Linked DNA regions of Danio rerio. The protein of the gene in region 2 interacts with the protein of the main gene of each other region in a pairwise test. Links are inferred from orthologs where the notes say so. Each region holds a gene or a part of one and is shown on either strand. Other genes may lie near its edges.

The links.
Region 1: the proteins of smurf2 (region 2) and sparta interact in a two-hybrid assay, tested with the Homo sapiens proteins (2 studies listed by BioGRID and IntAct). The link is inferred for Danio rerio from reciprocal best matches to the Homo sapiens genes SMURF2 and SPART.

Annotation. Positions count from the first base shown.
Region 1 is NC_133185.1:39,919,899-39,923,737, reverse strand, and holds the start of sparta (spartin a), read left to right. Parts: upstream 1-908; 5' UTR 909-985; coding exon 986-1,318; intron 1,319-1,546; coding exon 1,547-1,936; intron 1,937-3,839. UniProt on the Homo sapiens protein: Lipophagy receptor that plays an important role in lipid droplet (LD) turnover in motor neurons.
Region 2 is NC_133178.1:24,033,426-24,037,257, forward strand, and holds part of smurf2 (E3 ubiquitin-protein ligase SMURF2), read right to left. Parts: intron 3,155-3,832; coding exon 3,040-3,154; intron 2,429-3,039; coding exon 2,250-2,428; intron 371-2,249; coding exon 233-370; intron 147-232; coding exon 26-146; intron 1-25. UniProt on the Homo sapiens protein: E3 ubiquitin-protein ligase which accepts ubiquitin from an E2 ubiquitin-conjugating enzyme in the form of a thioester and then directly transfers the ubiquitin to targeted substrates.

The DNA.
Region 1 (3,839 bases), on a different chromosome or scaffold from region 2:
TTGCTTCAGTTCTGTCTGGTATACTTGTGTATGGCGACCTCTAGCCTTCAATGTCTGAATCGCAATTCTCCCAAACAAATTGTGAACTTCTGCTTAAGTGAATTAACATTAATTCTTTATTGGTTGTAAGCCTAGTTTATTGTACACAAGGTGTTCTAAACATCGCCGGTAACTGGCACCTATTGACTGGTAACAGGAAATTACTATGGGTGTTTTATACCAGATTTTTTTTTCTTAATTCAAGAAGCAAGCACAGATTAAAAAACTAACGACTAACATGGTAAATATTCCTTTACAACGTTGTAATCGCACCAGTTTATTCACCCAACAGTCTGGGTTTCATTCCCATAACTTATGTTTAAGTTTCTTTCATCTGTTAAACTGATACCAAAGCTGTAAAAACTGCAACCACTGACTTCCACAGTGTTTTTCTACTATTGATGTGGTTACAGGTGTCTTCTCCCCCAAAATATATTTCCTTCAACGGGAAAAAAACCCAAAAGTAGGAAATTAAGAAGTGTCATATTTGGGTAAACGAACCATTAAATCCTTCATAACCACTACACGACCAGCTGCTAACGTGTACTCTTTATACTAAGGTTACGTTCGTCCTACTTAGTTAGACAACCTCTGCTTTTTTTCTATATGACGAGCTAGTCTCAGTGACTGCTATGCTTCTCAACTACGAAATATGTCACATCAATGTAAACCTTTGTTGCGCGCTTTCAGCTGTTAAAATATTTTGTTTGCGTGTGTGAGAACAGCTTGAACTTTAATTACGCATTTCAGTAATCTAGTTGAACCTGCTTGGTGACAATACATCATTTAGTCAAGAGTCATCATGGTAGAGAAATGTGCTCGTTAATAAATTAGCAGCACTCTGGATAAGCAAGTGGGCCACGCTTTACGTGCGTTTTACGCACTCAACTTTTTTGTTTAATCGTTTCACAATTTCAGCTCGGACTGTGCGTTTACAAACGCGAGCATGCAGACGCCTGAACCCGCCGAAATTCGTGTCATTCGCGAGAACTACGATAAAGCTCTGCAGTGTCTGAATACCGGACTTCAGTTAGATGAAGCTGGCAATAAAGACCAGGCTCTGGTCCTGTACAGGCTGGGCCGGCGGCACCTGCTCAGTGGGTTGCAGGTGGACACACGGGGCGGGCGCTGCACCGGCCGCTGCTGGGACTCTGCCCGACAAACGCAGCTGAAGATGGGAGAGACTCTGCGCACCATCACTGCTCGCCTCGGGGCTCTAGAGTCCGCTTCAAACACGGGTCAGAGACTTTATCCGACTCTCCCTGTCTTCCAGGACAAGGTACAAACAAATTGAATATATAACTCATAAATTATATATCTACATATCAGTAGGCCAAAGTGCTACAATAGTGTGTAAATAGCCTATACTAAAATGTTTTTTTTTTCTTTCTTTTTTTTTTTAAACAAGTGCTTTTGTTGGATATTCTTAAAATAGCATCAATTGGGTAGGAATTTAACTTTTTAATCTTGTGCAAGTAACTTTTATCCAGCTCTACCTGTCTTCCAGAACTCCCAGAGAGCATTTAACAGCAGAGGGGCCTCAGGAAGGGCCCCTTCTCGCCCTGTTTCCCCTCCAGTGGGCTTCGCGGTGCCTAATGAACTCCCACCAGCCTACACTCCTCAGCCAACAGACGGGCATCTGTCACTCTCTCATGGAGCCAACAGAGCGTTTCCAGATGCCCCACACCAGGGGTCCCGGCGTCAGGCTGTGGCCCCGGTCAATCTCAGAGAGGCCGGGATGGAGATTATGTTCTTGCCCAGCGGGGTGCAGATGTTTTTTGTGTCTGCTGAGGGTCGGGTCACTGCACCTTCTTATCCAGGGTACCTGAGGATCATCATATACAGCCAGGACTCGGATGGCAGTGCCAACACTGGCTATGCTCCAGCTTACCTGCAGGTAAACACCAGCACAAATGCAGTAGTCAACAATCAAACTGAATCAAAAATGTTATTCAGAATTGTCCAAGTACAAGAATGGGAGTTGTTCAATACTTTTTGGACAACTTCGAAGAAAGTCTGTTTCGTTGTTCACCAGTGAACTTATTTTTCTTATTCTCCATTTATTGTTATATAAATTGAAAAAAGATAATAAAGCCAAATAAAATAAAATGCACTAAATAATTATTCATTGGATTTACTTTTTTAAGGTAAGTGGTTGCAAATAGTTTATATGGGCTGAATTTAAGTTGAGCATTACTAAATATAATGTGTTTGTTTAAATTCAGGGTTGCAGCTGGAAGGGCATCCACTGCGTAAAACATATGCTGGATAAGTTGGCGGTTCATTCCACTGTGGCGAACCCTGATTGATTAAAGAGACCAAGCCAAAAAGAAAACTAATAAATGAATGAATGTTTAAATACAGTCCATAAAATTTTTTTGCAACCGCTTACCTTAAAAACTTTAGTCCAATTAAGCATTTTTTTTCAGTGTTATATGAGAAACATGGTGAATGGCAGCTAAAGCTGAACGACAAATTTTCTAATCAAATAAAAATATATATATTTTTCACGTACACACTGTCATACGCAGAAATGCTTCTGAACAGCCGTGATCTTAAAAAATATCAATAAGAAAAAAATGATTGAATAAAGAATTAGAATGCGAGTTCGACTAGAAGATGAAGATGAGGTTCTTCAGAGTTCCATTAATGGTCGCCAAATTCAATAGTTCTTTACGATTGTCACAATGCTGGAGAGATTGTGGAGATGCGGGGGACTAGGTTCACATATTTTGGGAATGCCCCAAAATACAAGTGTATTGGCAAGAGGTTAAAAGGGAGATTAGTAAAGTTTAAGGATAAAACATACCAATGCACCAAGTATTTTTTTTTTGCTTGATGACTTTCCCTCTGATCAATTCAGTATGTCTCACCTTTGCACTACACTTATTATTAATAACAGCTTGGAAAATAATTACAGTGAACTGGATAAAGACCCGCTGACCTACTTTGACAGAATGGACACCGAGGCTGAATTTATATTTGTGAAAATGACTGCAGATTTGCAGTTGAAATCAGGCATTTTTCAACAGACCTGGGCATTTATCGAAACATATTTACTTGATCTTTGAAATGCTGTTAGGGGCTTTGTTGTAGTTACTGTCTTTTATATTGGAGTATTGGATGTAAACATTTTGAGTAAACTAAGTGTATGTTTATAAAAACTTTAATCAAAACACAGTTTAAAAAAAGAAAGGGAATGCATATAGCTATAGAAAACAAAATGTATATAAAACTTAGCTGTACAAATATGGAAAACTTTTAATTTAACTGAAACATGCAGCGTACAAAACGAAAGGAAACTGAAAATATAAAACTTATAGTAAATTACAAGATATAAAAAAGACAAATAAATTACAAATTAAAAAAAGAATATACATTGCCTCTACTGGACTGTTAAGACAGATATATTTTTCTAAATGTTTTTCTAAATATTTCTTTAAAAAAATGCATTTTATTTTGTTAGATTTATGCTTAAATTAATAATAAAAAAGGAGAATACCAGCACAAGTATACTCTGCTTGGCCTGTTTCTTTTTCTCACTTATTTTCTCCTCCATTTGTTGTTATATGGAAAAACCTAAATAAATATAAATAGTAGATTGGCAACTAAATAAAAGATTAAGCTGAAGAACAAATTTTCAAATCAAAAAAAGTCTTGGTTAATTTGTCAAGTTTTGTAAACTAATTTCGAGAGCATCACATGCATTGATTGATCTCAGCTGGTCCTGCGTCAACAATCACTGATAAACCAATCACACGAATCCAAGCCTCCAATAAAGAGCCCAATATGTCTTACCT
Region 2 (3,832 bases):
TTATAAAGGATTGGTGTTTTTATACCTCCAGTTCTTTCTCATCAAACGCTTTGAGCAGGTGTTGTGGAATGACTTCGTTGAAGCCTTTCTGCAGGGCCAGGAACTGAGCCTCGATGCCCCTCAGGAACCGCCAGTTCACATACAGCCTGCGCAGAAACAGGACATTTGATGACACCCACAGACAAGCATCAGAAAAGCAGGACTGAGAGGTTGACAGGTGTGAATATCTTACCTCACATACTCCTTCTTGGTGTCCTGCGTGACTGGAATGCTCTTGCCATTGGGTTTGAGCTCATGCTGAATGATCTCTCCATATGCATTGTGTTCAACGCAGAACGTGTGGTCCAACACCCCGGTGATGTCATTATCTCTGAACACAAAAACAGATAGAGGAAAAATAATTACTATTAATAGTGCACACACAATTATATATTCATGTATGTATATTAAAGTGATTAAAATATACTATATCATTTGCATAATTTTCTATGTATGTACATAGGGATGTCCAGATCCGATCACGTAATTGGAAAATTTGGGGTAGATCACACGCTTTCAGACGTTAATTCTCATTATTTTTTAACACATCTATAGTTTATGCGGTGGCACAGAGTTAGACCTCTTCCTTGACAGCAACGCGTGCAGCATGACATTACTTTGTTACAGAGACGCTATTGGTTAAATGTCAGCAAAGTAGAACATACTTGAAGCGCAAAGCGCGAGTATGTCTGCGGTCTGGAGGTATTATAAAGTTGATGAAGACAACATTGCTATAGAAAACTGTGAGATATGTAAACTTGGAACTGTCTTCTGGGTATTTTAGAATGAGATGCTATTTGTTTTATATTAGTTTTTGTTTTATATTTACTGTTGCACTAAAGTCCAAAAGTGAAGAATTGATGTTATTAATTAATTGATTGTTCAAGCTACTTCACAGAAGTGCTCTATTTGTTAACAGATTTGTTGAATGTCAAAATAAGGTTAATTACAAAAAAGGAACATCCTGGATCTGTTTCTTTGCTCTTCTTTATTCTTTTTTATTTTTCATTGAAGTATTAGATCGGGTTTCAGTATCGGTAGACACGAAATCAAATGACTCGGACTCGAGGGCAAAAAAACCTGATCGGAAAATCCCTATATGTACATATATCTGTTATGTGTTTTTATCCCTTATTTGCCACTGGATTTAATATTTAGATAATTACATTTTCGTATAAAGCAACCTGGAATTCATAACTGCATTTTAGGATCATCTAATAACTACAGTATTTTCTATAAAAAATGTTATTTCTTTCTGTTTGCCATTTAAATGTTTTAACAGCTTATTTTAAAACACCCTTTAGTTTTAGAAGTAAATTGATATGTTTTAGATTTAGTTATTTTATTTTAAAATTAGCCGATAAAACATGCCTTTTGCAACTGGTTGAAATGTAATAAAGTCTCTCGCTTGAAATTTAATTAATTTTAATAATTTATTCTTATTAACTTTCTTTATTTATCTGGGGTTGACACAGCGCCAACATATGTTTTACGCAGTCTTTCCAGCTGCAACCCATCACTGGGAAACATCCATACGCACTCATAAACTATCTTTGGACTGCGGGGGAAACCGGAGCATCCGGAGGAAACCCACGTGGTCACAAGGAGAACATGCAAACTCCACACAGAAATGGCAACTGACCCAGCCAAAGCTCGAACCAGTGACCTTCTTGCTGTGAGGTGATCGTGCTATCCACTGCACCATCGTGACACCCCCATTTAATGATATATGCAATTAGACAAAATAATAATTATGGCTATGATATAGGCAACCTCCCCCCCATACTCTTTACCCCCACTCTCTTTTATGTATGCATTTTGGTTTGGTTTATTTACTAACATAATTTACATTAATAAGATGTACCCTTGAGGTATTAATATGGGCTTTTTACTTAAAAGTTTGTAACTTTAGAAAAGGTACCACACAAGTGACAGCTCGGGTACCTTTATTTCTGAGAGTGTATAATAACAACATTACATCAAATTAATCCTTCTATTTTAGTTAACTACAATACCTTTGTTTTTGGAAAGACACTTATGCGAGATTTATATACTCTAAATGTTTTATTAATTTTTTATATTAAATTTAATGATATTATTGGTAAAATACTCATACTATATTACTAGTCTATTAGTAATTACTACTAATAATACTACATATCAAAGAATTCATCATGCATGCAATAGATGGATATGTTAAGCACACTGACAGGATCCAGACGAGGCTGTTGTGCAAGTCCGGATCCACTGACTCCATGTCATCCAGAGTGATAGGTTTGCCTAGCAACTGCTTGTAGAAGGGCAGAGTGAAGCCCCCGTCTATATAGTGACCATGGAAAACAGCCATTCCCATAATCCTCCCCACAAAGTGGAAATAAGACAAATGCTCCTATAAAACAAACATAAAAACATGTGAATTTTGTAAAGCGCTTGCATTCTAGACAGCTGCACGATATTGGAAAAAATCTGATATTGTGATATTTTATTTTTCTGCAATAAATATTGCAATATAAATACGGTTTCAGATGATGGTTTGAATAGCACTATTAGATGGTTTTCTGGGGATTTGCGCACAGAAATGGAATAAATCACAATGCAAAAAATGCCTTTCTTACTTTGTTTTGTCTTGTTTCTAGTCCAAAAATCAAAAAATTCTTAGACCAAGTAAAATATTGTTTAGTTTTCACTGATTTTGCTTGTTTTAAGGAAAGTATCTGCCAGTGGGGTAAGTTAATACTATTGTTTTTGCTATTAAATGTAGATATTTAGACTAGAAACAAGAAATGGCCTTTGCAACTCAAAGGCAGAGTTAGAGTTAGCAGAGTTATAACTGTAATTGAGATTTATAATTGAAATCACACAAGCATAAATTGATATAACAAATTAGGTACTATAAAAGAAACACTTTATATTTTTATAAAAAGCCAATCTCAAAATCTCAGCAGTGTCTTGTCTTAAGAATTATCAGTGTAGTTCAGAAGCTCGTGCACTTTCACTCACTGGATTGACAGCCGAGTCCGGGTTGATCTGTAGCGTGTAGATGTCATCTCGTGAATACTGGAACAGCCCATAGTATGGATTTAACATCTCGTGTGACAGCAAGTATAACCATTCCCTATGACACAAAAGCGCACAAACATTGGCACAAAATATTGACAGACATAAATCCACCATGACCCAATTTCACATCGTTATACTCTTATTCTACCACTAGATGGAAACAAGAGCCTGAAACAAAACATTTTTGACCCATTTTAACTTTCAGAATATTCAGCTTTTATATTAATGAAACAGAACATGATTCAAGAGCTGATTTAATCTATTAAGAATTGATTGTACTATGAAAATGAATAACATTATGGGTTAACAGGTTTCACTTTTGAAGACCTCAATGTATCATTAGGAGCTACAGTTATTAATTATGTTTTGTCTTTGAGTTTTTTCGGGACTCTCAAAGAACTTTAATAGTGACACTGGATGATCTATATTTGTCTAGAACTTTGGTTACTTTTCTTAATTGTAGTGTAAATAAACACACTGTTTACCCAGTAAAAAACAGCTCAGTTCAAAGGGACCCATTATCGACTGAAAAAATGCAGAACTTTGTTAAAACAAGGCTTTTTAAATGCTTTTGTGTTGTTACGAAGCATTTTGTTTTTAACCATACTTGAAATTATAGCTGACAAGCATTAAAATGCTGTGGGAAGTCATATTATTGACAAATCACTGTAAATATTAAGCTAAAGTTTTTATTAAGTTTATATAAAATCAAGAATTTGATGTGCAAAAGTGT